4 linked regions of the Arabidopsis thaliana genome follow. Each later gene encodes a partner of the first gene's protein in a complex. Each region holds a gene or a part of one and is shown on either strand. Other genes may lie near its edges. A codon is read from its position in the direction of its gene.

Evidence for each region.
Region 2: the proteins of MYC3 (region 1) and TIFY7 are in contact, whole or in part, in a crystal structure (PDB 4YWC), measured with the Arabidopsis thaliana proteins. Residues at the interface, in NP_199488.1 of Arabidopsis thaliana: Ser18 (codon at 4,983), Gln53 (codon at 4,878), Gln74 (codon at 4,815), Ser76 (codon at 4,809), Trp92 (codon at 4,761), Gly93 (codon at 4,758), Asp94 (codon at 4,755), Gly95 (codon at 4,752), Tyr96 (codon at 4,749), Tyr97 (codon at 4,746), Ile122 (codon at 4,671), Leu125 (codon at 4,662), Asn126 (codon at 4,659), Ile129 (codon at 4,650), Asn140 (codon at 4,617), Glu142 (codon at 4,611), Glu143 (codon at 4,608), Val144 (codon at 4,605), Glu148 (codon at 4,593), Phe151 (codon at 4,584), Leu152 (codon at 4,581), Met155 (codon at 4,572), Thr156 (codon at 4,569); in NP_177227.5 of Arabidopsis thaliana: Val219, Ala222, Arg223, Lys224, Ser226, Leu227, Ala228, Arg229, Phe230, Leu231, Lys233, Arg234, Arg237, Leu238.
Region 3: the proteins of MYC3 (region 1) and MYB29 are in contact, whole or in part, in a crystal structure (PDB 7FDM), measured with the Arabidopsis thaliana proteins. Residues at the interface, in NP_199488.1 of Arabidopsis thaliana: Glu49 (codon at 4,890), Gln53 (codon at 4,878), Trp92 (codon at 4,761), Gly93 (codon at 4,758), Asp94 (codon at 4,755), Gly95 (codon at 4,752), Tyr96 (codon at 4,749), Tyr97 (codon at 4,746), Arg123 (codon at 4,668), Glu124 (codon at 4,665), Ser127 (codon at 4,656), Leu128 (codon at 4,653), Gly131 (codon at 4,644), Glu142 (codon at 4,611), Glu143 (codon at 4,608), Glu148 (codon at 4,593), Phe151 (codon at 4,584), Leu152 (codon at 4,581), Met155 (codon at 4,572), Thr156 (codon at 4,569); in NP_196386.1 of Arabidopsis thaliana: Ser184 (codon at 4,821), Ser185 (codon at 4,824), Thr186 (codon at 4,827), Ser187 (codon at 4,830), Leu189 (codon at 4,836), Leu190 (codon at 4,839), Asn191 (codon at 4,842), Lys192 (codon at 4,845), Val193 (codon at 4,848), Ala194 (codon at 4,851), Ala195 (codon at 4,854), Arg196 (codon at 4,857), Ala197 (codon at 4,860), Ser198 (codon at 4,863), Ile203 (codon at 4,878).
Region 4: the proteins of MYC3 (region 1) and JAZ1 are in contact, whole or in part, in a crystal structure (PDB 4YZ6), measured with the Arabidopsis thaliana proteins. Residues at the interface, in NP_199488.1 of Arabidopsis thaliana: Gln53 (codon at 4,878), Gln74 (codon at 4,815), Trp92 (codon at 4,761), Gly93 (codon at 4,758), Asp94 (codon at 4,755), Gly95 (codon at 4,752), Tyr96 (codon at 4,749), Tyr97 (codon at 4,746), Ile122 (codon at 4,671), Leu125 (codon at 4,662), Asn126 (codon at 4,659), Leu128 (codon at 4,653), Ile129 (codon at 4,650), Glu142 (codon at 4,611), Glu143 (codon at 4,608), Val144 (codon at 4,605), Glu148 (codon at 4,593), Phe151 (codon at 4,584), Leu152 (codon at 4,581), Met155 (codon at 4,572), Thr156 (codon at 4,569); in NP_001319041.1 of Arabidopsis thaliana: Leu201 (codon at 1,011), Ala204 (codon at 1,002), Arg205 (codon at 999), Arg206 (codon at 996), Ser208 (codon at 990), Leu209 (codon at 987), His210 (codon at 984), Arg211 (codon at 981), Phe212 (codon at 978), Leu213 (codon at 975), Lys215 (codon at 969), Arg216 (codon at 966), Lys217 (codon at 963).

Annotation. Positions count from the first base shown.
Region 1 is NC_003076.8:18,971,062-18,979,264, reverse strand, and holds MYC3 (Basic helix-loop-helix (bHLH) DNA-binding family protein), read right to left. Parts: upstream 5,244-8,203; 5' UTR 5,035-5,243; coding exon 3,256-5,034; 3' UTR 2,675-3,255; downstream 1-2,674. Other genes in the region: AT5G46780 (VQ motif-containing protein), read right to left, coding at 1-29; AT5G46770 (uncharacterized protein), read right to left, coding at 1,370-1,771; AGD9 (ARF-GAP domain 9), read left to right, coding at 7,448-7,516, 7,617-7,735, 7,942-8,203. UniProt on the Arabidopsis thaliana protein: Transcription factor involved in tryptophan, jasmonic acid (JA) and other stress-responsive gene regulation. With MYC2 and MYC4, controls additively subsets of JA-dependent responses.
Region 2 is NC_003070.9:26,651,162-26,659,107, reverse strand, and holds TIFY7 (TIFY domain/Divergent CCT motif family protein), read right to left. Parts: upstream 4,341-7,946; 5' UTR 4,158-4,340; coding exon 4,067-4,157; intron 3,859-4,066; coding exon 3,776-3,858; intron 3,282-3,775; coding exon 3,127-3,281; intron 3,039-3,126; coding exon 2,954-3,038; intron 2,871-2,953; coding exon 2,630-2,870; intron 2,535-2,629; coding exon 2,359-2,534; coding exon of another isoform or gene 2,304-2,358; 3' UTR 2,044-2,303; downstream 1-2,043. Other genes in the region: HWI1 (Receptor-like protein kinase-related family protein), read right to left, coding at 5,727-5,746, 5,831-5,962, 6,262-7,009. UniProt on the Arabidopsis thaliana protein: Repressor of jasmonate responses. Jasmonoyl-isoleucine (JA-Ile) specifically promotes COI1-TIFY7/JAZ9 interaction. Interacts with and suppresses RHD6 and RSL1 transcription factor activities to negatively regulate jasmonate-stimulated root hair development.
Region 3 is NC_003076.8:2,443,004-2,450,485, forward strand, and holds MYB29 (myb domain protein 29), read left to right. Parts: upstream 1-3,665; 5' UTR 3,666-4,086; coding exon 4,087-4,219; intron 4,220-4,315; coding exon 4,316-4,445; intron 4,446-4,534; coding exon 4,535-5,282; 3' UTR 5,283-5,581; downstream 5,582-7,482. Other genes in the region: MYB76 (myb domain protein 76), read left to right, coding at 7,322-7,454. UniProt on the Arabidopsis thaliana protein: Plays a minor rheostat role in aliphatic glucosinolates (GLSs) biosynthesis, mostly short chained. Together with MYB28/HAG1 and MYB76/HAG2, promotes aliphatic glucosinolate biosynthesis but represses indolic glucosinolate biosynthesis.
Region 4 is NC_003070.9:6,616,600-6,624,120, reverse strand, and holds JAZ1 (jasmonate-zim-domain protein 1), read right to left. Parts: upstream 2,345-7,521; 5' UTR 2,290-2,344; intron 2,202-2,289; 5' UTR 1,810-2,201; coding exon 1,647-1,809; exon of another isoform or gene 1,449-1,646; coding exon 850-1,448; 3' UTR 501-849; downstream 1-500. Other genes in the region: AT1G19190 (alpha/beta-Hydrolases superfamily protein), read right to left, coding at 1-245; AT1G19170 (Pectin lyase-like superfamily protein), read right to left, coding at 5,246-5,771, 5,868-6,021, 6,111-6,359, 6,439-6,559, 6,874-7,344.

The sequences.
Region 1 (8,203 bases):
TCATTACCACGATTACTCTGATCATCCATTATTAAAACTGAAACAAACAAACAAAACAGAGCAAATCCAAATCTTGGGAAGAAAATATTAGAGAAACCACAAAGACTTAAACCACAAGAAGATTTAAACCAAGAACCTCTCTAAAACAAGTAAAATCAAGGGTTTTATAACAAACCCTTTTAACGAGAAAGAGAACTTACGCGTTTTCTGAATTTGACTGGAAAAATGAAGATTGGAAAAGAAGAAACAAGAGAAGAAGAACAAAACAAGAGGCTTTAAAAAAGAAACTTTGACTTTTTGTCTCTCTTTTTCTCTCCATTAAGTTGTTAAATCTTAATTTAAAACTAGTTTCTGATAACTATTCGATTTTTTACTAGATACAACCAACAAGTGGATTAAAATTAGGAATTTAGGATACATACGTAAACAAGTTGAGGATTAGTGTTTATAATATGACTAAAGACTAAAGTTGATTATTTAGGAGTCGTATTTTTTATACCATGGTTTTACTACGATTGATCAGACTAAAGTTGATTATACAAGTGTTGATAATCTAATAGATCGTCGAAAAATTGTAGAACTGTTACATCTCTTATCGTTAAACTAGCGATGTGAAATAGCTGAGAATATTGTTTTAGTAACGTTGATATTACTTTATGATTGGTGTGATTGTTAAAACCGTATATCTTGTATTGCAATGGTATAGTTTGTACTATATAGCGATATGCCGATATGGATAACGATTAAAGAAACGAAGCTATACCACAAAAGTATATGTCATGACGATTCGAAACAAAATCTGCCATGTCAATTGTGTATTAATTATTTCGAAATTACGCAGTGCGAAAGTAGGCCCAATTGTAATGATGATTTACTTAACTTTTAAGTCGAGTCATAATACTCTTAGAGAATTAGAGATAAGTTTTCTTGTTTCTCTTATGATTGATTTTTTGTTGCTTTGTTGGTTACTAATAATTTTCTGAAAGATAGCAAAAGCTTTACTGCTTATGCAATTTGGCTATTTAGATGGAATAGTATACCACCAATAAGGATGATCTCTCGTGTTACGCAAGAAACTCGAAAACAGATATGAAAACGATTTTAGAAAAGAAACAAAACACTTTAATGAAATTACGTTTTCATTCAAAGACAAAAAAGAAACATAAAAACAAATATTCAAAGAGAACAAAACGTGACAAGTAATAAATCAATGGAAACGTTTTGTCGTCCAAATAATACTATTATACATCTCACATATTCTATCACGATTATATAATCACGAATCTGGATTTGAAACTATATGTAATCAGCTTTATCCTCTCACATTTATATAAAATCTCAGAATCATGATCAATCATTGATCATATATTCATATGTTAATCTTCCTTTTTTCTTCTATTAATCCTTGATCTCTCAAATTCTCAAAACTCCAATTCCTTCGGACTCCAGTGCTCCTTACGAGCTTTGGTTGTTCCGGCCGGGTTGGTACATTGCTAGGGCTAGAACCAACAGGACCACTTAGCCTAACGTGATGAATCTTTTTCACCTTCTTCATCTTATGCGCTAAAGACGATCCTGGCCGTCCAATCTTCTCATAGATCCTAGGACTCAAATTCCCTGACCAATTTCTCCCACCAATAGGATTTACACAACATGTTTTACCTAGAACATTGTTAATCTCGACCCTTGGTGGTCCAGGACCGGAGAGATCAACATCTTTGTTGGAATCTGTTCGTGGAAGGGCTTGACATGATAGACAATTTAGGCTCATGGCTTTTTTGCGATCTCCTTACGACAATGGAGATCAATAATGAGCGAGAGAGAGACAAGGAAGAAGAAAGAGAGACTATATGGTTTTATTTAGTTAGTAATATGTTTCTTGTTTTATTTTAGTAAAAGACTAACGAGAACTAATCTAATTTTAGTGAAAAGTGTATATTTGTAAATTCGATTTTGGGTAACACACACGTTGCATGTGTAAGTAGGGATATCGCCTCACACGTTAATTAACAACTATAACCTTCATAGAAATGAGAGAGTTTTCTGTCTTTGGTCGTTGGTTATAATCAAAGACAAATTTTGTAAGAATTAACAATAGTTGTTGTCATATATATTTTCATTACAAAATTATAGTGTGAACGAATGAGTGAACAACTATTTAATATACATATACCTAAGATAGATGAAAGATGGCTATAATTTTCTAACATCCTTTAAAGAGGAGGGGTCAACTTTATGGTACTACATGAAAAGTATTTTTCAATTTATTATGAAAACTTAAGTTGGTGGTTTTTAATTAGAACTCATCAATGGTGGAGAAAAGTAGCTTATTGGCAACTTTCATTGTTGATTATGCAGTAAATGTTCTTCATGTTTGCAGAAAATCAAATGCCTTCACATTTTGGTTTAAACAAAAATTTGAGACTAAACCTACTAGCAAATTTTCGGATTTAAATTCAAATTGTGATACTACAAACTCAGTTCCAAAAAGAATATTCGGAAAATCTTGATTTTTGCGGTATATATGTTACTAAACTACTTAAAGACTAGTCGTTACTAATGTACACAAGACTATAAGAATTAAGAAACATAGGTAGATCACACGGCTCTCTAAACATAGAGATATACTCAAACTCACACATAAGATAAGATAAGATAGGCACTAAAAGACTTCCTACTCATTACTTAAAACTAACAAATCTTTGGTTTAACTTTTAGTTTCTTTTACAAACAAATCACACATGTCTCCACATTTTTGGCATTATAAACAGTTTCCTCATACCCCCTTACAAAGATAAGAGCACTATCTCTAGGCAAAACCCATTTACAACCACTTATTTTCCTCAGCTTTTTGGTACACTACAGTTCATAAATTTGGACCTTTATGTACACTACAAAGTTACAAACTAACAAAAAAATTCAATCATAGAATAAAAAAACTTCAATAGAATTTAGGATCTCACTTAATCTTACTCCATACATATATATACATACAAGTACAACCAAAGATTTTATTATTTCGCTAACTCTCTCTGGTCTTCTAGTCTCCAACTTCCTTCTCACTTAAGGCTTATGATAACACTAAGCTAAGAACTAAGCAAGTTCTCCTAATGAACAACAACATTTAACAACATGAAGCGAGTGATGCAAAATGAGTACTTACTACTTTACAAAAGACCATACATTACCCGCTAAATTCGATCCCATTTCATCGATGAAAACACTAGTTTCCCCTCTTTGATATGCCAACTTTGTTCAATAGTTTTCTCCGACTTTCGTCATCAAAGCAACTTTGAGCTGGTCATGATTGAAAAATTGGCTCCCCATCTTCACCGTAGCTTGTTGAATCATCAAATCATTCACAACGGATAAACTCGCATGATTCACTTCCAAATCCAATTCCTTAAGTGCTTCCATGAACCTAGCACCGGGATGATCTTTCTTGCCGCATTGTACACGTATCATCACATCCCAACCTATGATCTTAACATCAATCTCCATTTCTATAGAACTCGCCGTAGAATCTTGATTCGAACTTTTCCGTTCTTTTGCCCTTGACCCGCAACCTTTCCCATTATTCCCTTCCTTACTCATCCCATCTAGCTTCTTCTGAATCTCCTCTTTATCAGACTCCGCTTGCTGCAGCTTCGACTTAAGCTCATTGATATACGAAATCGCGTCTCCGAGAAGCGAAGCTTTATCCATCTTCGAAACGTTAGGAACAACAGCTCTCAAAGAGTAGAATCTCTGGTTTAACTTCTCTCTTCTCTGCCTCTCTGCTTCAACATGATTCAACGGCTCTTCTCTCCCATTCGCCGGTTTCCTCCCCCGTTTCCTCGGCTTCTTCTCCGGTGGCTCAACAACAATCGCTTCCTTAACAACAGATGCTTCAAGATCAGAATGATCCGAATCATTCGCAGCTGATCTAACCACAGTACTAAACGAAAGCATCCCTTCATCATTATTACTCCCTTTAGATACCGAAGTTCTCTTCTTACTACTCTCATTACCACAGAAACTCAAAGTCTCATTAGATTTCAACAACCCACCTTGAAAGGTCAAATCTTTCTCGACAAGACACGAACTTTGACGATTCTGATTCTCTACAGAGCTAATATCATTCTTCTCAAGCTTAGAAATTTGATGAGAATCAGACTTAGAATTAGAATTCGAGTTATTACCATTATTAACCCTCGCCGGAGATTCGATTCCGGTGTTCGTCGGTTCACTAATCCACAAAGCTGGATCATTCTCTCCTTGATCTGGATTCAGATTAAAACCCCACGAAGAAGCTTCAACACCATTGTTTCCACCACCGTTGTTGAAATTAAACAAGTTGTTAACTTTATGCATCAGATCTGAGCTTTGACTTATAACCTCCGACGAACCAAGCTCAACGACGCCGTTTTGAGTCGCGATACACACCATCGTCTTTAACCCGTAAATCTGACCTTGACCCGCTCTTTCACAACCCGACCCGGTTAAAGCACCAGACCCGGATAACCAAATCACACGAGAGTTTAAGAAAGATTCTCCGGGGAGACCAACACCGTTAACGAAGCTTTGAGTCATCGAAACTAAGAAGAACCATTCAGTATCTGTTACTTCTTCATCGTTTGATTCATCGGAAACCCCAATTCCGCCGGAGATTAACGAGTTAAGCTCACGTATTACTCTTTTCCGATGCTCTTGCTCCGCCGTGTTGGTGTTGTTCTTCTTCTTCTCTTTATCTTCCTCTCCTTTGTAGTAACCATCTCCCCAGCCGAGGATCACTGTGTTATCTCCGGTGGATGAATCGAAGTCGTGTGAGATCTGCCAGAAGATAGCGTAAGTCCAGTTTTCTCCGGCGGATTCTATTAAAGCTTGGAGACGTTGTTGAAGAGTATCTTCGTTGAACTGAGGCTGAGGTGGTTGTTGTGGTGGTGGAGGAAAGAGAGATGAGTGGTGGTTTGTTCCAATGAAAGCTTCCATAGCCGCCGCCGACGCGTCATCGTCGGAGGTCAAGAAGTTGATTGATGATGTTGTGCCGTTCATGTGAACATACGCCGGTTGAAAAGGTGATATTTTCCGGTGAAAGGTGAAGACTTTTTTCCGGTGAGAAGAAGAGAGAGGTGACGTGTAGGGAGGAAAAATCAAAAGAGGGAAAAAGCTAAGCAAATGGCGTTTAGTGATTGTTTGGAGAAGATGATTCTCTCTACAATACTATATTTTATTTTTATTGTTTTTCTAAAACAATTGTAAATAATTTTTTCTTATTTTCTTAAGTTTTTGTTGAGAGTTGCGACATATTATATGACAAAAACCAAACGATAATAATTTGGTTAACTGTTACGAAAACGTAAATAAATTATTCATGGAGTGATAATTCTCGTTTGGACACTGTTTTGTCTGAAACATAACTTAGATCCGTTTATTATCACATAGCCACTTATTGTTTTATGGAGAAAAAACTAATAAATAATCCATTTATGGTGATATAGTGACTTAGAGTTTCGAATATGGACCAATGCTATAATTCAAAATTTCATAAGTTAGAAATCTAAAATATAAATTTTATTTTTCATATAAATTAATATTTTAAACTGCAAAAAAGAATTGCATTTTTAAAAGGAAAAAAATAGATTCTACTCAATTTATATCAATTAAGTTAGGAATTTAAAATAATATTTCAACTGATTTTATGTTAGTTATAGGAAAATAAATATATATGAAAAAACTAAAAGTGTTTTCTTTCTCCAATCATCTTTTTTTTTTAAATATCATTTCATTATGTTCATTTTATTAAAAATCAGTTTGAACCGTTAATATGAAATTTACGTTTTCAAATAATTATCCGGTGTAAATTTTTTTTTGGTGTAATGGTTAACTAAATATCCATTAATACTTCATCACACCATATATGAAGTTTGATTTTCATAGATTACAAATTATTGAAGATTAATGGAAACGATTTCTATCTAGAGATTTTAGTGTGGTGCATAGAACCGTATGTCGTAGTACAGTACCATCTGTCAAACTGTAAAATTGTACAAGCATCGATGTAAAACTATCGGTTGTGGAGTTGACTACGAAAACCATAAAAAGAAAACTCAAAAAATGATTTGCTAGTCCTAAAAATTATTTGTAATATATATTCAAATAATAATGTATCCAACAACATAGCAACTTCCGTTCAATTTTTGAAAGAGGAAGAAATTAACGTATAAAATTTGTATTTTCTCTATAAAATTCATATTCGAATTTATTTTTTCTTAGACATTTTAAATTGTTTTTTTCTTTTTTTAAATATTGGAATTATGTTGTGTAGCCCACTTTAATTGTTTGGGTCCTCTGTCTAGGCATCGTCTGTCTGCTTTCCATGTTTCTGTCACCATAATTGACATATCTATTTATTAACAATCTTCATATTTTTGTCACGGTATACTGTAAGTTTTCTTTAACCACATTTTTTTCATCAAATTTTTTATCGTTTGGCTAAAACTATAATGACCAACCAAAGTATATAATTTTTTAAAACGTTACATATGATTTTTTTGTCAAAGTTACACATGATTATTGACAAAGAACTACACATGATAATGCCAACCATTACTTATAAACAAAATATCCAGAAAAAAAAAGAAAGAAGAAGAAAAGTAGTCAGTGAAAAGGACAACATGTACAATAATATTCAATGGTTAATCACGATGGCTAAAATGATCCAGCTCACGTGATTCTCGTGGATGATGTAATTACAAAACGACTTTAGACCCACTAATCGTACACTAACATATGATTATTGACATTACATAATAAAATATCTCTACTTCTTGCCAGTTTTCTTACAAGACATTGATAAACATGTTACATGTCACAGAAACATTGTATCAAGTAAAAAGTTTTACTTTATCAAAAAAGAAAGAAAGTAAAAGGTTCGAGAGGAATTAGTGAAGATAACCTAATTTAATACCTTAATGTACTTCCATAACAAGTCGATTTTTTGGATTTAACAATTATTTTGGTTTTCAATTTTTCACAATTCTGTCTTCATCTTTCAAGCGATCCTCTTTGCGCTAATAACAAGATGGAGAAAATCATGATAAAATTTAGCGATGAGGTTTTATCCTTTTTCATTTTCTGTTTTATGGTTAAGTTTTGTGATTAAAGAATTAGAAGTTTTTTACAGGATTTAGACTATGGTTAGAGTTTACATTTGATTTAGAATTGTGTGACTTTCATATAAAAATAATGACATCTACGAAATTACGAAATACAAATATGGGCTTATTCATTATTGGGCCATACAAGCCCATCGAGTTTAGTATTGATCCTCTAATCAAAAAACGTAAACAAATAAGATAACAGAAAAACAAAAACAAAAATTTCTGCTTTGAAGAAGAAGAGTCGATCCATAATCGCCACTTTCAGATTTCCAGATTCTGGGGAAACATCTCTAAACTCTTCAACGATGGCGACTGAGAATCTCACCGATAAGAATGTTGTTTTCAGAAAGCTGAAATCAAAATCCGAGAACAAGGTTAGGGTTACTCAATTTTCGATTTTGAATTTCGTTCAGATCTGGAGCTTATACGACCTAAATCTTCCGAATTGATTTATGATTTTGCTTCGGTTTTTAGGTTTGCTTTGATTGTAGTGCGAAGAATCCAACATGGGCTTCTGTTCCTTATGGGATCTTCCTATGCATCGATTGTTCTGCTGTTCATCGAAGTCTAGGTGTTCATATCAGCTTCGTCAGGTAAAACTTTGAATCTTGAGGAACACAAATTTGAACTCTTTAGGCTTAATTTTTAGCTTCATGGACTTGTAGCAATGTTTCACCTTCTGGCTAGGGTTTAAGCTGTGATTAGGAAGATGTTGACTTATTTTTTCCTGTTGACCACTCTATTTATAGCATTTCATGTTGTTGTAGATCTATTATAAGATCATATTGTTTTTGTGCAGGTCAACGAACTTAGACTCGTGGAGTCCTGAGCAGCTAAGAACAATGATGTTTGGAGGGAACAATCGAGCTCAGGTGTTTTTTAAGCAACATGGATGGAATGATGGTGGTAAGATTGAGGCTAAGTATACTTCAAGAGCTGCTGATATGTATAGACAGACTCTTGCTAAAGAAGTTGCTAAAGCCATGGCTGAAGAAACTGTTTTACCGTCGTTATCCTCTGTTGCTACTTCTCAGCCAGTGGAATCATCTGAAAATGGGTTT
Region 2 (7,946 bases), on another chromosome or scaffold:
GACAAGTTGATATAATCATCAGACCAAAGTTTGATTTTAAAGAGAAAAAAAGATCATCGAACCAAATTCAACAAAAGCAAAAACAGTTAAAACTAAAAAACTCAATGATAGGTTTTGTGTGAAAAGTTTATTGTTTGTTTGGATTCCTACTAAAAATTAAAATATCCATCTATAGTTTTGCAAATCAAGCTTCATAATGATTTCATCTCTGTTGGGCCTTCCTCATGGGGGTGGTCTACTTCCTCATCTCTGTCCTTCTTAGTAAAATTAAATGGTCCAGTTGACGGCCCAATAAGCCCATAGAAAAAGAAAATTAATTTGTTAGCTAAGAGTTCGTTTGCTTACTATGATTCATCTTGTTGTCTTTGCCTATGAGACCTAGTGCGCGTGTATTATTGTTTAAGTTCGACGTTACCCGAGGATAGCTCACTCGATAATTCTAGGAATTTTTTACTTAGCGCTGTGTGATCCTTGTTGATAAAGTTTCTTAGAGGATATTGTATAACACTGAAACTCTTGAAACAATTCAGCTTCTAATCTGTTTATTTGATGTTTGTTGATCTGAAAAATGTGAGATGTGTACTAATCGTGACTTTGTCTCTGCTTATGACCCGGCATGGCACTGCATCGTTTCGAACCACACACCGTAAAAGGAAGAAACAAATTCAGGGTTTATCTCAAAAATGTATTTTGTTTAAAACGTATGACATTTATGTTTTTGGATTATTTGTGTGAAATTGTTTATCGCAGATATTCATGTCCTTGTGGACCTTGTCTTGTCTTCAGAACAATTTTATGGTCACACAAACCTTAGAGATAATACAAGTTTTGGTTTATATTTCGTTAATGAAGGAAACAATTGTGTCAACAAAAAGAAGACGTTTTTAGGGAAAGCTATGTTTCTCTCTATACCAATGGATAAATGAGAGAGAAGAGACCTTGGCTTTCTTCAAAAAAAAAAATGAAAATAATGTAAAGTGATAGAAACTATTAAAGTCAAAATCAAAATTGTATTTATTAATTAAAATTTGTATGAACATGTAGTATAGAGGTTTGTACCAGAAATGTTGATGTCACAATTGATTTTAAATCACTTTATTGTTGCTATATATCGAGTGATAGAGAGAAGCAAAGGAGTTAAAATGTGAAGCAGAGTACAAGTTTTGTTTAATTTTATAAAGTAAAAGAGAGTACTAATTGAAATGGAGAGTGAAGGAGATAACACAAAATGAGTGTTGGGAATCATAAATCCATCAATTCATGAAACAATCTAAACACAAAAGGACTAAACTTAGCCCCAACAATGTACTTTTGAATTGTGTAGTGGTAGTTCAAATTGCACAACTTGGTGGGGGCATGAAAGGACAAGTGAGTAAATGATGATACAACATATACACGAGAGAGAGGATACGCAAAATGATAAGACCACGACGATCGTTCTTATCCACTCATATATATGAACGTGTTTTTGGTGATGAATTTAGAGGTTAAGCTCTCTTTTTTGTCCTCCTCACCAAACTTTTGCTTATGTGCATCTCCTTCACCATTATTACTTTCCTACAATTATTTATCTGCCTCTAAATAATAATATCTATAAGATCTTTCCGCTTGTGAAGAGAATCTCTCTGTTTTCGTAATCAACATGTGAGCTCTTTTGGTTCACAATTTTTTTTTTGTTTACTGTAGCACATAAACTAGTAGTATTTATTCTCCTTAACATCAAATTTTGAACTCGTGACTTTCATAAAAAGCTATTTAAAACATGAATATTTTCCTTTGAAAACATATCATTTTTTGTAATATATCATCTTAGGTATTTTACACAATCATCAACCTCAAGAGAATTTTCACCTTCTTATTTTCTTTACATTGATACCAAAAAAAAACTCGAGAGAATAATAGTAAAGTGGACTTGTTAACAACGAAAGCTGGCGATACAAAACTAGTACTATTCTCTTTAGCGATGCATTCAATATGATTTTGGTATAAATCAATTAAGTGTTCATATAATTAGTTAATGAAGTGTGTTTGTGAAATTAGCAAAAAAAAAATTATAGTGAATTTTATTTGATATTAAATTCTTGACAGACATGAGTCCATGACAAACATATATCTGTTAGTTCTTAAAGTTATAATGTAATCCTACAATAAACAGACCAAAGCATTACAAACAATGATCAAATACAGAGACGCCCTAACGTCTTCTCCTGCTCGTAAGAATATAAATGGTAACTATATAATCATAATCTAATGATTACAATTACAAATTACCATTGTAAAAAAAAAAAAAAAAAGTGTAGGTTTTATGTAGGAGAAGTAGAAGAGTAATTCATTCCACTGGATTCTCCGGTCGACAAATCAAGAAGCATCTTCTTGTATGGCATTGCACTCATAAGCCTGCACCAACAACATCAATTCTTTTAGATTCAATTGAAAAACCTCAAAATTTTCTATAAAGAAAAAAAATACAAAATCAAACCTCTCTTTGCGCTTCTCCAAGAACCGAGCCAAGGATGCTTTCCGAGCTTGAGGGACTGGAAAAAAGCAATTTTCGAGTTTAGACATATGATTTGAGGAAGCAAAAATCTTGATTATATTTTGTTTTGATGTTGATATTAGACACACATACCTGAAGGAATCATGTTACGAGGAGCTGCATTGAATGATTCGATCATGCTCATTGCATTAGTCGCAGCAACGGGTGTGTCCCTACACCTTGAGAAATTATCAGTGTGAGTGGCAGAGCTTGATGAGGTAGCAGCAGTGTTATGGATTTGTTTTCCATACATTCTTTCAGCTTCTCGAACCGGTTTGCTATCTCCAGTTTCACCTTTCAAACCGTTCCCGGCGCATAACATGATGGCTTGAGCCTACTCACATATCATGAATAGTCCGTTTTAGAACATGTAAATGTTATGTAAATGTTATTTGTATGAATCTTGATTATATATACCTTATCGGGAGATATGTCATTAAAGACGCTTATAGTTCCGCCATAAAAGATTGTGAGCTGAGGAGATGATCCGGAGGAAGCCACTCTGTTTCCACAAACCCACATAACCAAATCAAAATATGAAAAGAGCAAAAAAATTGTTGAATGTTTTTGCATCATAATATGGAAATTACCGTGGAACAAGAGAAGGATGAGTTGGTAAAGGAACTGAACCGCCTAGTAAAAGCGGCGTCGCGTTTTGAAACGCACCACCAAATTGGCATCTGCGGAAAACATTGGCCGCAGAAACTGATCCCCACTGGTATGCACCCGGAAACGCCTTAGCCTCCTAATTTGTTAAATTCAAATTTTAATCGTCAACGTCTTTAAATTTTTTGTACATTCTAAATTTAGAAAAATGCCAAGAAATAAACGTGATCCAAACGCCAAACACCAAACGCCACAAAATATTAAATTATTTTTTCCCTAACTTTGCGGCTGGCAGACGACCGACCCTACCAGCTCTTAACTAGCACTTATCCAACAATTTTTTTTCCCTGGTTAATGATTGGCCACATACACAAAAATGATAAAGTTCGGCCATTTATCCGACCATTTTCCGGTGGCTATCTCTTACGAAAACAACTTTTCTCATAAATATGTGATTGATGTGTTTAACATAATTTGAAAGTAAATTCTTCTTTTTAATCAAGACCATAATTGAGTACTCCTCTTGCACATGCTAAAAGACGACCATGATTATGCGGTAGCTTATAGAACCATTAGATTAGCCATAACATCTGAAACTGATACAGAGTAAGTTAAATTTTAAGATGAACCAACCTGGAAATCTGAAGAAGGCATGAAACTTGAAGTAGCAAAAACCTTTGACTTCCCCCATTCTCTAGCTGCCTTCGTACTTAACCCTATAAGTATCATTTTTTATGGTCGTCAATTTGACTAATCTATCCAATCTCATTTTTATAAAAGATTTAATGGAATCTTTTTTTTTTCAAGTTTTGGAATCTGAAAAATTATATTTAAATAAACAACTTTATACGGCTATGTTAAAAGTGAAAACTGATCTCTTCTTGAAACATTAAAATAAAAGATTCTCGAGACAAGAACACAAACCTCGTTCTTCGACAGCATCATCGTTAACCTCATGCTTAACGTTATTACTTAGATACTGCTTGTCGCTCAAACCCAGAAAATCTCTTTCCATTGCAAACCAAATATTCAATGACAAACTCTCAAATTAACGTGTTTCTCTCTGTTTCTTGCCCAAAACATCCAATTTAAAGAAGAGGAAGAAGAAAACAGAAGAAAGAAGTGGGAATCCACAAGGAAGGTTTCGTTTTGGTAATGTTACAGACACACTTTTGGAGAGGCTTATTTAACTCTTTGCCTTTCCTGTTTTTAAAGGCTTGCTTGATTAAAGCATGTGGGGCTTTTTTCTGACCGGTACAAACGGTTGGTGCTACTGGTTAAACCGGTTAATTCACACGTGTTTATTCTTTTGATTTTTTCATTTCTGAGGACCATATACAATTAGACATCCGTCGACCGTCGGTGGCTCTAGTTTATAATAGTGCATGTTTTTTTTCAAAGGTGGATTAATTAGTTTGGCTATTGGATATTTTCTTCGTGAACTCACACACACATGTAAAATGTGTGGTTGCTTTTCTTATGCAACGGTTTGGTATTTATCACATATTTTTTTCTTTTCTTTGAAAATTATTTCAACTATAATAATAAATGAAATGATAAGCCAAGACTCTTTCGTTGAGGCAAAAGTAATGTCACGTATTGGATATACAATAACCAAATCACGAGAATGCTCAATGGGCTGAAAGAAGTTTGATTTGCTTATCTAAGGCCCATAATTTTGTTTACGGCCCGACTTACATTAAATCTGTTCAGTATAACTGTACAGATTTGGCTAAATTGCATTCCAAACTAGACCTCCAAGAACTTGAGTGAACTTTTGCTAAGCTCATTTCATAACACGTGAAATTTTTGAATCTTTGATACATCATGTTGTTATTTGAGACCAATTTTTCTTATTCATATAATGTTTCAAACAGACGCAAGTCATTTATTAGTCATGTTACTCATGTACAAATTAAAAGAAGAACCTGGTTATGAAGCAATCATCGGTAGTACATTAAGAATTTCAGAAAATTAAAAAAAATATGGAAAAGAATTAGACGTTAGTTGGTCTTTCAAAGTCCTAAAACGATTTGGTAGTCAGCTTACAATTTTAAATTATCATTTTTAATGATTAAAGGACATTAGGCCAAGTCTTCAATTGAGTTCTTTAGACAATATGAGAATAAATAATGATGAATACGATGAAAAGATTCGTTCAGACATTCGCAATAGGACGAACACAGTTATCATTTTTTGGATCTCCATCCTGATTTACGGTTTAATATGTTCCATTATTCTCGACACGTTCATTTATTTTAACTTGTTTGTGTATTGATAAAAGAAGCTCAAACCCTTTTAATTACTGTTATTTTTTGCATAGACGAAAAACATGGCATTTATAGAAGATAAGAAATCGAAGGTTTCATTCACATCAAAGAAGAAGATATCGCTTTGGCCTATATAAGTCCGACAATTATACAAAAATCGATTCGGAGATACAATCATATCAATACTATATCAAATTATCAATATACTATAACTACGTACATCTTATGAGGGAGAACAAAAAAAATTACAAAAATACAACTAACAGTGTGGCTCGACTCGAGTTGTTGATTGATATCTTTCCCACTTTGTCCTTTCATTTACACCATTTCTCATCTGCAAAAGGCATATACATAGTAATTTAGATTTTATGATCGATAAAAGAACTGAAAAAAAAACGTAAATCAATATCAAAAATACCTTGTAATTTTCTACAACACTTTCCAACAAAAGCGAGAAACACAACGAGCAAGATGATTAAGGTGACGATTCCTATTATTATCGCCAATGTTTTTCCCACTCCATTATCATCCTTATTGCCCTTCTCTCCTTCTGCCAAATATATATATATATAATTTTAAAACTATCCATCCACCTCTAAAGTTTTTAATAAATTTGTTTTCTCCATCAAGTATAATGTTCATATTTTTATTTATGGTCAACACTATCAATTTTATGGGTTTAAAAATTTAGCGTCGTACACAAATATATAAACCATTAGACTAATTGTTAAGATCAGTCTAATATTTAAATTTTCATCTGAGGTTACGTAAAAAGGTTTTTTTTTTAGTGATTACGACTTTTTATTTTTTTATCTAGTTTAGTTAAAATAAGTTTAGAGGAAGACTGACCATGACCAAAGTTTGGGCCTGGGGTCTGACGCGCGTGACTACCACCAACACTGAAACGCGCGTAACATTTCGACAAGTAAACATATCCTCCCTGAGCCATTCCACAATCAGATTTGAGCCGTCCGATTGCATCAGACAAGCAATCTTGGCACTGTGATGTACTTAGATCACCGGAGCACTGAGCCACACCCTGAACATTCCCGTTGCCACCTGTCCTGTAAGATCCATCTCCGGTACCTAAAGAACCGATGACGTCACTAGCTTTGGTCAACGCATCCTGGTCGTTGAATTCCATCGGCTGTCCACATTTGTTGAGGATCAACGTTTTGTCTTGAACCCCAAGGAACGATTTGTTGTCGTAACGGATCAGACAATTTTCCATCTGCAAGAACCCGGAGTACGAGTTTGAACATAAGGCTCCGACCTGTGCGACGGCGCTTGATACGCACGTCGAGCAGGCGGTTGGGTCTAGGTCGCCGCGGCACTGGTAAATACCGTATACGGTAACGGTTGGTTCCGGTTTCCCGGTGGGAACTGTGAAGTTGGCGTAGCGGGTTTGGGCGGTTGAGGTGACGAAGGAAGAGAGGAGGGAGTTAAGATTTGTCTCGTAGCCGGAGCTAGGGGAGAATTTAGCCGGAGAACAAACGGCGTATATGTAATTGTCAGTGGGGGAGGAGGAAGATGGGTTCATTAGTATAACGGCTGTGAGAAGGAAACAGAGAAGGGACGTCGTCTTTGTCTTGATCATGGTTACTTTTTGTTTTGAGAGATAGAGAAAGAGAGAAGATGATTTGGTAAAATATAAATTGAAGAGCGAAGACTTGCTTTAAAGATAATTGACGTAAAGAAGGGTACTCTTATATGTGGTTCCATGTTGCATGCTTTTGGTTTTTTTTTTTTTGGTTTTTGGTTGGGGACGTTCTTAAGAATTTCCACAATTTGCAAGTTCCATATCATTGAAATTACTAAATAATTGCAACTCTTTCTTCGTTCAGACTTTTTTTTTTAAAGCTATAATGTGGAATTTGGCAATGTGCGTCTATCCATTACAACTTTCTTTTTGTTAATCTATCCTTACTCATGTCATTTGAATTCAATTTTTTATTTTGACAGTGACTCGTGTGAATTCGTTAGCCTCTACCGTTACTACTAATTACCCTTACTTGCCAGTTGCCACTTATCAAGAAGGCAATAAAACTGAGGAGTTAATTTCTTATAGTATTGTGAAGTTTGAATGCGTATAGAAAGGCCAAATCGGCGGACTTACCACGAAATTAATAAAAAACCAACTTCTTTATTCATGTATTATGTATATATAATCAACACAAAAAGATATGAAAATTTGCATTCAACTAGTTTATTTTTCTTATATCAGATGATAGGAGTGACGAAGCAATTCTCGCATTATGTGTGTGTATATAAAAATTGACAATAGTAGGTCTTTTTTTTTGTTTTTCTATATCATCAGAAAAAAAAAGCAATACGAATAATACCGAGCAATGACGACGTATACGTCATGAAAACGAGTTATGGTCATTAATATATTACATGTAGTATAGCGTATAGAGTTTGGATAGGCAATGGTACTTGAAAATGATTTTAGAAGATGAATTTTAATTATATAGAAAGGGATATTGGCGTGCTGGTCGAGATGTTGTATACATTTATGTAAGGGTTGTATCAAC
Region 3 (7,482 bases), about 17 Mb from region 1:
TAAATGGCTTTGCTGATGCTGATTGGGGAACATGCTTGGACTCCAGAAGATCAGTAAGTGGTGTGTGTGTATTTCTTGGCACTTCTCTGATTACTTGGAAATCTAAAAAGCAGGAAGTAGCCAGTGGAAGTAGCACAGAAGCAGAGTACAGGAGTATGGCAGTAGCGACTAAGGAATTGTTGTGGTTAGCTCAAATGCTGAAAGACTTACATGTGGAGATGGAGTTTCAGGTTAAGCTCTTTTGCGATAATAAATCGGCTATGCATATTGCAAATAACTCGGTGTTCCATGAGCGAACTAAACATGTTGAAATCGACTGTCATACTACACGAGATAGAGTCAAGAATGGCTTCTTGAAGGTTCTTCATGTTGATACAGAGAACCAACTTGCTGATATTCTGACTAAGGCGCTTCAACCAGGTCCATTTCGGTCTATCCTTGGTCGTCTATCAGTGTCAAGCCTCTTCCTTCCTCAAAAAGGTCAAGCTATACAGGATTCGGCTTGAGGGGGGTGTATTAAGCCTATATGAGAGTTAGTTATAGTTTGTTACTTTACTCTCATACTATATATACTCTTGTAATGTTTACTTTGTTCATTAATGAGAAATATACTTTGCATTTGATAAAGTTAATAATTAGCAATAGACGAGTGGGAGAACCACATGAACCTTTCATATGAGAGTGTCAATGGGCCTGTCATTGTTGCCTCTGTCCTTAGGCCCCACTTTTCCATCATTTCTTCACTTTGTTTTGTAGTTAAAAATATATATTATGTTTCTTTCCATCAAAAATTGTTACTGCTTTAGTTCTATGGGTCTATTTATCTAGGTCCACTATGATTCTTATATATATTTCCTTATCTACATGTCCACTATCAATCATTGTAATTAATTCTATCAGGCCCTTTGTTATTCCGAAAAAGAAGTGTAAAATCTACCGAATAACTTATGTTATGATGAATGGGAGGGGGAGTCAGCTTTGAAATCGTATACTGATCTTGTGTATCACAAATTCACAATAACTTATTAGATCTTTGATTTTATTCACAATGGTATTAAAAACTATTGTTTAAGTGAATAATTTGAGGTGTCAAAAAAAAAAAGTGAATAATTTGAATGATTGGCTCAATATCAAGCCCAATGATCAAGACCTCGTCTCTCCATTGCGTTCGCGTTTGTCACAAATCTCATGCCATAGTATTTTCAAGTTGCATTTATAATGACGAAAGTGACAACCTATATAAGGCTAAGCAACATAGAACAGGCATACTAAAAATCATTAATATATAGTATTATTGCTACACCTATTTAGTTATGTCGGTGGATATCTAAGGTATAATATGCACTCTGGGGGGATTTTGAAAATTTTGACCAACTAATTATTACAAAAGATCATTAATACTAAATGAAACTCATGATTTGGGGCAAGTCTTTAAAACATAGTTTTCCTGCCCACATTTGAAAAGTAAAATAAAGATCCTCTTTTGTTATTTGAGGGTTGTCTTTTTTTTTTTTTTTTTTTTTGAATCAATGTAAAATTTATTCAAAAAAGTCCTTGGTTACAATATATGCAGCTTTAAGCATAACGTTTTTTTGAGTTTCAGAAAATTTTAAAACCAAGGAAAAACAGAGGTATAAAGGATTTCAAAACAGAGCCTTTGTTAGGCTCTCGAGTGGAACCAAACCCGGAGGGCGTCGGCCATGTTTGATGGTTGGAGCTGGTGAATGAAGGAGATTCTACGTACGCCACATAATTTTACCATTTTCAACGATTGCGTTGTTTCCCAAATTATGAATTGGAACTTTGGTAGCATCGCAATATATACGACGTTTGGGTTTGGCCCATGCTGCCATGCATAGCAATAGTTTTAAATACATGTGGTTGGTAATATAGAAAATGGTTTGAAAGACCACAAACTTTGATCAGTGATCGATTCGGTAGGGCCACAAATAACAATGTTTTCGCCACATGGTCATACTTTACGTTTTCGATGAGAAAATATTTAAACAGTTTGTTCGTCAAATTTCGATTAACTAGAACAAAATTCATAAACGAGAGAGACAGAATAATTCGAGAGAGCTAGAGTGAGGGTAACTAGAAAGATAGTAACTGATTTTGTATCTAATAATTAATTCATTAATTTAAAATCAATGATAAATCACTTTGATGGTTGTGGCCTTGTGGGTAATTATAATTAACACGTACCATTTTTTATCAAGGCATTTTTAAACATTTTGTTTGTTTTTATTGAAGTTTTCTTCTCACTATTCAAAAACGTAAAACCCTAACAAAAAAAAGTAAAAGTAGAACTGTTTACAAGTCTGGCTGAATGGGTTGATTGACTCGACAAAAGATTTTCCATGTGGATTAATAGAACAAATTTTAATAATATATACGAAATTGATGTATTTTCTTTTCTTTCGATCACTATTAATGTCTTAAATAATAAAAACATATAGTACATTTTACAGATTATAAATTTATGTTGTGTTTTATTTTGAGTTTTGGCTTGAATTTTTTTTTTTTTTTTGTTGTTGTTGTTAAAGTGGTTTGAATCTGTATTGGTTACAAATAAAACAAATAATGTTACGTTCATTTTGTCTGTAGATATTTTTCTTACAACTTATGCAGCTATCTTTGGGGTTTCATTTTGAGTGTGGATGTTTGGTTTTGAGTTAACTCTGCATGTTCCGAAGAGGCGTAACTAAAATAAAAGAAACTACTTGAGATGCGAGATGTGAAATGTGATTAGATGAGAAAAAACGAACATTAATAATTGAGCAAAATAACTTTATTTAAATTTTGAATTCAGCGTTAGTGTTACACCCAAAGTGGCAAACAAATAGGACCGATGTTGAAAAAGAACACACGTGATATAAAATGTACTGAGAGAAAATTATTTGCATTAGATGACAATAAATACAATAATAATGAATAGATGAAATAACTTTTAGTTGACGAAAAAAAAAAAAAACTTTTAATCTATTTTATTCACTAGATCAAAAAGCATGTTTCAGACAGTTTTATTCTTATCATTCAATTATTTCACAACGTATAATTTTAGTTTATTTTCGTAATTTGTTAATATACGTATCAATTGAATATTTTTGACGGTTTTTATTATGTCATTTAATTATTTAAGGGAACATAGTTTATTTTAAAATGCAGTTCTATTTTACAAAAAAAAAGAAAAAAAAAATTGCAGTTCTACGTTGACATCTAGCTGATCAACTATTCATCATATATACTTGTATAATCTATTATTTTAAGTTCTATATTATTATTAATATGTTAAATATAGATATATCTATTTAAGAAAATATCATATAAATATATGTTATAAATCTATATATAGAAAAAATAAAGCACAGAATTTTGTCCCACATTCTGTCGATACGTACTCGAGCTTATGAAGTTGTTCTTTTCTAATTATATTTTTTCCCATTGCCCTTTATCAAATCAACTCTAATAAAAATATATGGTAACTTATGAAGTTGTCATGTATTTATGATATTTCTCTTTGGGTCGGCACTGTATTTGTGATGTTGATTATTTATCTAGTGGCAGAAAATATTCCATAAGTCTCTCTCAAACCATTTGAATAGTTCCAAAAACATCTTGTCACTAACACTCACTCTTGATGAGTTTTTTTTTTTTTTTTTTGGGGGGTCAAAGTACTCTTGATGATGAGTTGATATTCTTATTTAAAAAAAGCTTATTACTTATTTAAGTTATTTCAAAAAGTACATTCTACACGAGTGCCAGGCTTATATATATGCATAAACATATATAATTATGCATGGAGGAGTAGTAGCTTGCAATGTCTTGAAACTTTGATATATCTTCTCCTAGTCTTTCTTTTAAATGTTTAATATGAAAACACAAAATCCTACAACGGTCGTCTACCACAGTTTCTCAGTCAGTTTCATATTCAGATGCATCAGAGTTCTCATCAAGAGATCTATCAGTCTATTGCCTTAAACTCGACGACATTCTGTTTTTTTTTTCTTTTCTTATTTTTTCTTTTTCTTATTTCTTACCTATAGGTTGTATGTAAATCTATATCAAAAAAAGAAGAAAAACAAGATGTCAAGAAAGCCATGTTGTGTGGGAGAAGGACTGAAGAAAGGAGCATGGACTGCCGAAGAAGACAAGAAACTCATCTCTTACATTCATGAACACGGTGAAGGAGGCTGGCGTGACATTCCCCAAAAAGCTGGTATATATGTGCTTTATTATTATGTATATATTTTAAAACACTTTTTACATATATATAACTATAATTGTTGTTTTTATGACAAATGATGGTGTTTAGGACTAAAACGATGTGGAAAGAGTTGTAGATTGCGATGGGCTAACTATTTGAAACCTGACATCAAGAGAGGAGAGTTTAGCTATGAGGAGGAACAGATTATCATCATGCTACACGCTTCTCGCGGCAACAAGTAAAATCCTAGCTTGCCGAAATCCATATAAATAAGGGTATATATAATTAACACATTATTAAAGTTTATATATATGTTTTACTTAAAAGGTGGTCAGTCATAGCGAGACATTTGCCCAAAAGAACAGATAACGAGATTAAGAACTACTGGAACACGCATCTCAAAAAGCTCCTGATCGATAAGGGAATCGATCCCGTGACCCACAAGCCACTTGCCTATGACTCAAACCCGGATGAGCAATCGCAATCGGGTTCCATCTCTCCAAAGTCTCTTCCTCCTTCAAGCTCCAAAAATGTACCGGAGATAACCAGCAGTGACGAGACACCGAAATATGATGCTTCCTTGAGCTCCAAGAAACGTTGTTTTAAGAGATCGAGTTCTACATCAAAACTGTTAAACAAAGTTGCAGCTAGGGCTTCTTCCATGGGAACTATACTAGGCGCCTCCATCGAAGGAACCTTGATCAGCTCTACACCGTTGTCTTCATGTCTAAATGATGACTTTTCTGAAACAAGTCAATTTCAGATGGAAGAATTTGATCCATTCTATCAGTCATCTGAACACATAATTGATCATATGAAAGAAGATATCAGCATCAACAATTCCGAATACGATTTCTCGCAGTTTCTCGAGCAGTTTAGTAACAACGAAGGGGAAGAAGCTGACAATACTGGAGGAGGATATAACCAAGATCTTCTTATGTCTGATGTCTCATCAACAAGCGTTGATGAAGACGAGATGATGCAAAACATAACTGGTTGGTCAAATTATCTCCTTGACCATTCCGATTTCAATTATGACACGAGCCAAGATTACGACGACAAGAACTTCATATGATCCGTTGATTGCTTACCGGACTAGAGTTGACCGGTTAATGTCATATGGTTCTCTTAGATATTTGTCAAGTTATAGTAAAGGTCCACTATAGGGTCACTATATATTAATATTCAGTAATGGATTCTCTTAGTTAGAGAACCTTGTGATGCCGTGGATCAATTAGTATTTGATTTGCGGGAGACACGAGTTTTTTTTCCTTCTATTGTTGTTTGTGGATTTACGTACTATAAATAATAAATAAAACACCCATTTGATTGCAAGCGTTCACTGTACTAAAACCATTTGATTTAAAGTTTGAGCCTTAGTTTGTCTGACAGTCTGAGCCATGTTACCAAAAACAATGAAAAATATGTAACACATTTTAGGTTTTTGGTGATATGAAACTCCGAAGAAACAAATCCCTACTGACTACTGAGAAAGTCGATAAGCTTTTTTGTGGATAAGTTTCATGGATATATTAGAAGTAGTAACCATTAACCAACAAAAAAATAGCTTAAGTGAGTTATCAAGGGATCGATGAACAATTATGAGATCCAATGTGTTTTTGTTAAGAGGCAAAATCCGATGCAGTCTCTATGAGACAAAATTTCCATGGGAAAAACAGAGAGTTCTGAAGTCTCTCTACCTTAAACATGTGCAAGCCTTAGCTTCAAATGCTCCGTAAGGTTTTCATTTAAAAACATGAAATAAGATAGAGAAATGATACTTGATCCAACTGATGAAGATTAACAAGATAATTTTGAAGCAACTTCTGTTTGTATAATATGTCGTACAAAATCTGCTACCAATTTAGAGGCCAAATTATTTTCTTTTCTAGACAGTTTGTGAGGTGGGCAGCTGAAGGTGTTTAAGCCAAGATTCTCAAGATTTATAAATCTTGAATCGAATTAAGCTATCAGCCGGAAATTAGGAAATGATATGCATATAGGGACTAAAGATATAGTTGTTGCATTAAAAAGCTTAAAGAGAGAAGTGGATGTGAAAAGAAAAAAACCACAGATTTTTGCACACAATCTTGTGTGTTGATTGATATCCAAGTAGACTAATTAGACTGCTTTGTTCTACACGATAATTGGTTGTTTTTAGATATCAATACGAAACATGTTAAAATGTGAAAATATTTTAGATTAGATGATAACACCTGAATTTAATGACAAAAAAAAAAAAAAGTGGATAGAGACTAGAGGGACAGCAAGGCTGTGTGACATATATGGGCAGATAGACAAAGAAGCCGAAAAACGTGCACCGTCCAAGATTCTGGCTACTATACCTAATTTCCTTCCCGCAGGGACTTGACAAATATCACTATCTGCCATTTTTAGTTTTATTTTGTATTGGTGTCAAAGAATTGAAATAATGAACAACGGTCGTAAAAAGATGTAAATGGTGTTTGATTGATTAATGTTTTTTTTTTTTTCTTAGTATATTTTAGCAATTGCATATTATCATATAACATTAATTAATAATTATTGTGTTGTAGATAAATGTCATGCATAATGCAGTAATAAATGTGTGTGCATATATTATATATACACGTTAATTAGATGCTAAAATGAGTGACATATCTTTTAATTCTTTGATAACACCATTTCCATAAATCATTGTAAAACTTACCTTATAACAAAAAATTAATAAATGTTATAGGGGTCAATTGACCCCCATAACTCTACACTAGCCCCACCTCTGCGGATAAGCTTAACATGTCTATTAATATTCATTAGTTTACGTGGTTTAAAAGTTTATTGTCACGAGTGCATGACACTTACCGTGATGTTGACTATATGAAGAGGTAGATCGTACGTGTACAAATGACTTCATAGATCTTTGATCTTTTTTTTCTTCTTCTTCTTTTTTGGTAATATTCTTTAGTTTTATTTGATCTATTGTCGTTGTAATGATCTTTGATTACAAAGGAAAAAAAAAACTAAGACCCTTGACGAAAATAATAACCGTATTCGTAATCTCTGATATCCTACATTATGTACTATTTCTGATTTTTGTTTCTTATACGCACTTTTGTTCTAGATATAACTAAGAAAATGTCAAAGAGACCATATTGTATCGGAGAAGGACTGAAGAAAGGAGCATGGACTACAGAAGAGGATAAAAAACTCATCTCTTATATCCACGACCACGGTGAAGGAGGCTGGCGTGACATTCCAGAAAAAGCTGGTACATAACTATATATAGACGCATTTGT
Region 4 (7,521 bases), on another chromosome or scaffold:
CCTCCGCCATGAAAGTAGACGAGTAGTGGGATTTTCTTCTCGCCGGTTTCATAGACGGAATTTTGAGGGAGGTAAATGCGGAGAGAGAGGTTTTTCTCCGGTGAATAGACGGCATCTTTAGATACGACGCCGTTTTCGGGATTTAGTGACGGTGGGACGAATGTTTCGGGTACGAGGCGTTCGATGCCACCGTTCTTGAATATACGAAACCTCGGAGAATAGTCGAATGCGATTTCGGAATCCATTAGAGATTAATGATGATTAGGAAAGAATTAAGAGTTGATTTTGGTGTTTATGCGATTTATTTATATGAATGATCTCTACGAGACTACGACTACTCTGAACTCTCTATAGTTTTGGTTTGGTTTAGATGTCACGTTGTTCTTTAGTTGTTGACATGTTGTTAAACCTACCTACTAACTCATAATTCACGGGTTTGAATTTGAATCATAAAATATGAGATTAGTAGGTAACAAGTAAACAAATGAAAACAAAACACACCTACTTACCTGATAGGTAGATTTATCAAGATATAATTTAGAGTATTTGATAGTATGGTTCGTCAACAAAAATTATTGTTCTTACAAAATTAGTTACATACGAAACTAATTTTGAGATAACCCATAGCAAGGGGATTTAGACAGGCGACAATAACTAGTAGAAAAACAGACTATAACGAATACTAACAATAATTGATCACTAATCAATACATACAAATATATGAAGTTTCCTAATCATTGAGTAGTTTGTATCTTAAATCAAAAAGCATGAAGATAGGAGCTTTTATATCTTGTCTTGAAGCAACGTCGTCAAAAGAATTTCTTGGTACGGCTTGAGGGTGGTTAGCATTCATATTTCAGCTGCTAAACCGAGCCACGACATGTTGCCTGTGGTTTGAGGGTTTGAAGACGCTTTGGCTGGATCGCATAATTGGTATGGTGCCTTTGACGTAACTCTGTCCTTTCTCTTCTCCAAGAACCGGTGAAGTGAAGCTCTTCTAGCAATAGGAAGTTCTGTCAATGGTGTTGGGGAGGATTGGATTGGCTCTTGTGTTGTGGTTTTTCTTGGATGAGGAACTTGGTTTGCGATAGTAGCGATGTTGCTTCTGATATCGGTTTGATTCTTGGCTAAGCTATTAGCGGTGCCTTTGCTCGCCAAGTTGATCACTTCTTTGGCTTTCTCAGCAGAAAAGTCATTGAATACAATCACTTGCCCGGCGTAGAATATAGTCAATGGTGCAGTTTGAGACTCTGGTTTCACAGATCTGGTAGTCTGTGTCATTTTCAAAACATCTTCCTTTGGAAGAGAGGAAGATGAGGAAGAAAAGCTTGGTTGCCTAGGAAACAGATTCGTCGGTTTAACATCTTGAACCATGGAATCCATGTTAGAAGCTTCACAAGGGAATAAACTCATGGTTGTTGTCGGCTGACGTGAGTTGCCTAAAGTTCCTGCAAATATATATGATCCAAAAGTTAGAACTCTCTCCAATCATTTTCTATGTCAAAATTTAGCAAACTAACTCTCCCTAATTTCTTTGAAATCGATTCAAAATTTTCTTGAAAAGTTTTCAAGATCAAGATTCAAGAAATAAAAAACAGAGAAAACGAAAAAAGAAGTGGATCTAGGAGAAAGAGAAGGTTTCTTACCATTGACATCAGGCTTGCATGCCATTCCTAAGCTCAGATCTCCAAAGCTACCGTTCTCTTTTAGATACTGACTCAATCGACTACACGTCTGTGAGAAGCTAGGCTTCTTCCCAGTAAATCTCCGGCTACCGACGAACTCAGAACATTCCATAGAACTCGACATCTTTAACAATTAAAACTTTCAAACGGCAAGAGTTTCTCGAATAGCTAAATCGATACAAAGTAATCTCAAATCTTTTTCTTCTTCTTCTTGTTGTTGCTGTTGCTTCTCTGCAAATTGCGTTTGTCACGAGAGGGAGAAATGGAAGGTCTCTATAAAACTTTGTTTGGCTTTGGGGTTGGTTGGTTTGGTTGCAGAGTTCTTCTTCCTACCTCCAATATAACAAAGCTATATATTAATAGTTTAATAAATACTACTACTTTACTTATGGTATAAAAAACACGTGTTTTATTTTGTTTCTTTAGAAAAATCGGGAATGTGTCTCGGTTCACTGTTCTCCACGTTCTGACGCTTTCCGTTTCTTTGAAATTACGAGTTTGCCCTCCTTCACGAGCCTAATTTATCCATTGGTTGTTTGTTGGTAAGAATAAAGTCAAATAAAACACAAGATGCATGTAATGATGTAAAGAGAAGAGAGGTTACATTTTATCTCTAATCTTTATTATCAACGTAACGTAGGCATAATTCTCGTCGTGATTTTGGTGCTGTTTTTTTTTATCGGATATGTTAACAAGAAATTAATCAACCTAAACACGTCTAAAAAGTACTTAATATTTCTAATTAAAATAAAATAAAATCTTTTTGTATAAATAAGAAGCAAAACGCGTTAGAACCAGTCAACAGTCAAAGCCTAAACTCTTTCACATTTTTAAATGCTCTTCATTGAGACTAAATAATCTTACAATTATAATTGAAATCTAATATGATATTATACTCGAAACATTTTAAAACTTACTATTATAAGTATATTAACGCGTGATTCATGCAGAGAGACAAGCTAAGAATTGTCTAATATCTAGAAAGAAATAAATTAAAATATAAAGTCTGCTAGTTGTCGAGTTGGAATAAAAATGAGGCACAAGCTAAAAGTCATACATCAAAGTCAACCCACATGTCGACCGTCACAATTGATAAAATGCCATGAACCATATGATAATTTGATTGAATAATCAAAAGATTACACGTAACGAAAGTAATGCTTGGCACCTAAAAATCAATAATACAAACTGAGACCTAATTAAATGGTCGTCAATATAAAAATGGACATATTAAAATATATTAAGATATCCAAAAGCAAAAGAGAGACTAATCCATATATCAAGGGTGTTATCGTCCAAGCGGGAAAGTAAACGGCGTTAGTGAGTGGTCCCCTAAAGAAGACAACTCCACCACCCACATGTTCCGTCGACCACGTTTTTGTTGTTATGCGTTTTTTGAACAATATCAATATTTAACGAAAAAAAGAAGCAAAGAAGAAGGAAACTACAAGGAAAGAAGGTTGGCAAGTGCACGTTGTCTGTACCTATTCGATATGACACGTGTTTTATCATGGTTGGTTCGTTTTTCTACGCGTGGAGAGATTCTTGTATTTCAGTATCCAGGGCTCTTATACGCTGCTACGCGACCTATAGAGTTCTAATGTGATTTTATCACCTAAACGGCTAAAGTTGATCTCTACAGCTGCTTTCTCAAAGTAGACCAAGCCAAAGCTCAGATATTTGGAACCCTATACATGCAAATCGATCACAAAATATCTAAAACCTTAAAACATGAAACAAACTCCAAAACCTTACTTTTATGTATAGGCTTCAGCTTCACCTATACGTTGATGTCATGTTTCATTGTAGGCTATACATAATAAAACGACTAAGAGATAGATCTGTAATTGTAACTTGGTGTATAATATACACATTAATGTTTAATTAGACTTGGATAATGCGACACAATTATATTAAATTAATCAGTAAACAAAGTACGTGACAAAGTATTATAATATGGACTCGATCGACACAATTCAGAAGAAAAAGTCGTCCCATACTGATACAACGAGTCTTTCTTTTACATAATTGACAGAAACTTTATTGGTGCAAGATTAGATATATAAAATTCAAGATATATTTCACTAATTAAAAAACTCAACTAGTTTTGAGTTTATTGGTTAGAAGTTGGAACGTACTATAAGATATGAAATGTGGGCTATGGAGCCTATAAAAGTAGATATGATTAGATTAAACGAGAAAGATCGTCAAACTCGTGGGAAATGCGTGTACGTAGTGGTTGGGAAGGAATACAGATCCGCGATGCAAGTTGAGTAACGTGTCCAAATATATATACTTTTACAACTATTCATGCATTAGTTGAGTTTACCATTAATTTACGACTCTTAATTTATTGTATGATTATAGTATATTGTTTAGTCCTTGTTAATGATAAACCAACATTGTAGAGACTTGTAATGTCTAATATATTATACAGGTGCAAGCCTATCTGTTCGTTTAGGGTTTTATTTTCTTAGAGTAAGGTAATACTTACAAAATTTACATGGTTGACTTTGCTAAGCATAGATTGATACGTAGCCACGTTGTATAGTTTTTATTTGTTTAACAAATACTTATGTAACAATCAATGATACAATCATACACAAGTTTTGAACAATATGCACATGAATATCTAGAAATGTTCAAACAATATTATTCTACAATTTCTTTTTGTTTCATGTAAAGGTACGCATGCGTTTGTTAGCCTTTCGAAAATAAATATTAAAATTTATAAATGTTAAAAAAGAAGGAAAACTATTACTCCACATGGGTCGTGAGTCGTGACCATTATTGGAGTCGTCGGTGTTCTGCAGAATATACATATATAAATGTTCGAAACTGTGCTAATTAACTTTAGTAGTGCGAACATGCTTCTCGTGACATTAAATTAAGATTTTTATATAAAACTAGATATTTTGAATAGTTTATCTTATTTCATGTTGGTGTTTGGTTTTCGTGCTAGGTCAAAATGTGAGTTGGGTCAATCAAAAACCACATTCTCGCGATTGGTTTTTTGGCCGGAGTTGGCTATCAAAACCTAGCCGAGCGATTTGGCGTGTGAGCTCCGAGTCTAAGGTGTGAGTCCGCTTTGGAAGGGATCATGAACCAACCTGGTTCACTGAATATGCCGATATTATCATGTGTCATGCGTTAACATGCGAGTTTAGTAATTGAGTCGAATACAACAACACGTGCTTTCAATATTAATAACCTCAACATGGAGATTTTGATTTTTCTAAGCATTCTACTGCAAAACTATGAACCTCAACAACATTTATGAGTTTGAGTTCTGTATTCATCCAAATTTTATTCTTTAATTCGATCAATAAAGCAACTTAACTCCTTTGTTCTAATATATTGCTTGTTCATCAACGAATTATCTTTAGTTGACCTATTTGTGATAAATATTTATATTTATTACTTTAATTAAAATTACAACTATTTATCAGAATGAGAAAACCCCAACGACGAAGAGAAATGGTCCAAAGAAAAATAATTTTCATTTTTGTGTCCCAAAATTTACTTTTATGTACACAAATGACAATGAACTGAAAAAACATTCAAATGTCGTAGTCAATGTCCGCCACATTGGACTCAGCTGCAGGCTTAACCAGACGACCTTCCTCGTCGTAAACATCAAAATTCTCGCAAGGTCGAGGAAATATCGAACCGAACACTCGTCCTTTCACGAACGAACATTGGAATATATGTTTCTTCTTGTACGTTAACCCAACGGACATGTCCCGAAACGTCACATTCCTTACCGGAATCTGTTCGCTTCCATGGATCCGGACCGGCACTCGCACTCCTTGTCCGTGGATTCCCGCGAAACTGAATCCCGAAAGTATCGGGTATGCTTTCCGATCATAATTATCGTCTGCATGCTCGTTGTAATCCGTTTTGATCACTATCCCAACCCGAACATTGTCTAGTGTTAGGTTTTTGTAGGTTATGTTTCTGATGTAACCGCCTCGTCCTGGAGCCGTTTTAATTCTGATTCCACGGCGTGAGTTCCAGATCAGAAGGTTCTCGATCGTCACATTAGATATTCCACCAGACATTTCGCTTCCGATTGATACACCAGCACTGTCAAAACATATAGAACACTTTCATTCTTTTGCTTTAAAAGAAAACGTTTTCAAAGTTTTGCGGTGTAAGATGAGAAATGAGAAAATACTTTACCTGATAACAGAGCGAACAACGAGATTACGAATAAGAATGTTTGTTGAAGGTCGTCCATATGCAATCCCAAACTGATCCCATCCACTCTTTATCGCGATCGCATCATCCCCGGTGCTAATGTAACAGTCCTCAATTACCATATCCTCGCACGAATCTGTTTACGGAAATAAACAAGATGGTTCAAAACGTTTTAAATGAGTACAGAATAACCGGAAAACAGATATAAGCGGTAAATGAACATACCTGGATCAATTCCATCAGTGTTTGGTGCTCCGGTTACAGGAGCCAAGATGGTGACATTCCTTATTGTTACATTTTTGCAGTCATATGGATGCAGAGTCCAGAACGGTGAGTCACGCATTGTAATGTTAGCGATAACTATGTCACTAGACCACATAATTTGAACTAAAGGCCCTCTCGTATAGTTGAGAAGTCTTCTTTGATGCTTCTTCCACCACGATTGTCCTTGCCCGTTTATTGTTCCATTATGACCTGTTCCTTATACCCCTTAGTTACTAACACGGTTACCACAATTTCACAAACATGAACTCGAAAGAGGAAAACCACTAACCAGTTATCACAATATCTTTGAGGTTTTGACCATGGATTAAGCTCCCATAACGAGGTCCCGGACGCTCTCTACCGTAACCATATGAAGGCAATGGTGGCATTAAAGGCCAATACTTCTCATCCTGACAATTAAAGTGACACGTTAAGTAAACAAGACGCACACATCCATCACGCAAAGTCTCAAAATCTCCTAAATTATGTTCCTTCACACAACAAGCAAACACAGTCATTTGTACTCTAACTTGGCTAGAGTGAGTGACCTGTAACCTACAAATCTAATGTTCCAAGCTTAGTGGTGCTTAAATTTCTGCAATTCTGACCTAAACAGAGCTAAAGAGTCTGACTTTCAGTAAACAATTACCAATCAATCTTTTGCATTCGTTTCATTGTTTCGAAATGAAAGCAAAACAAGAGGAAATCAAAACATTTTACAAACCTCAACACCAAGAATCTCGGAATCCTCTGCGAGAAACAGAGTCATATGGCTAGTGAGATTAAACGGCGCCGTAAGCCACCGTCCAGGCGGCACATTCAGCTGACCTCCGCCGCTACTTCCCCCAAGCTTAGAGATTGAAATCACAGCTCTCTCGAATGCTTCAGTGTTAAGCGTAAACCCATCTCCAACACCTCCAAAATCCTTCAAATCAAACACCACAGGTCTCAATCGGGGAATTGGCTGAATCGGTTTGATCTTACCGAAAATTGTGAACTTTCCTCCGACAGGACCAGTTCCAGAGCCGCCTTCGATGTAAGCCGTTCGCTGCCATAGAAAGACGGAACCAAAGGCAGTGATCCAGAGAAATGTGAAGAGTGTTTTGTGAGAAGCAAGGAGAGAAGTAAGACGACGCTTCGGGTCAAGTCTCTGAAGATGAAATTGAAATCGAGAAGGAAACAAATTCTCCACCATGATTCGATTAACGAGGAACTAGAAACATTGAGGTTCTGGTTTTGCCACAGATCTAGCCGAGAAATAGTGAATTAGAAGCAAAGATCCGTCATGAGAGTTGCAAAGTCTGTGTCAGAAGCTGGTGAAGAGAGTTTGGTGTGTGCACGATCCGATTCGATTGAGTAATCGAACCAAACC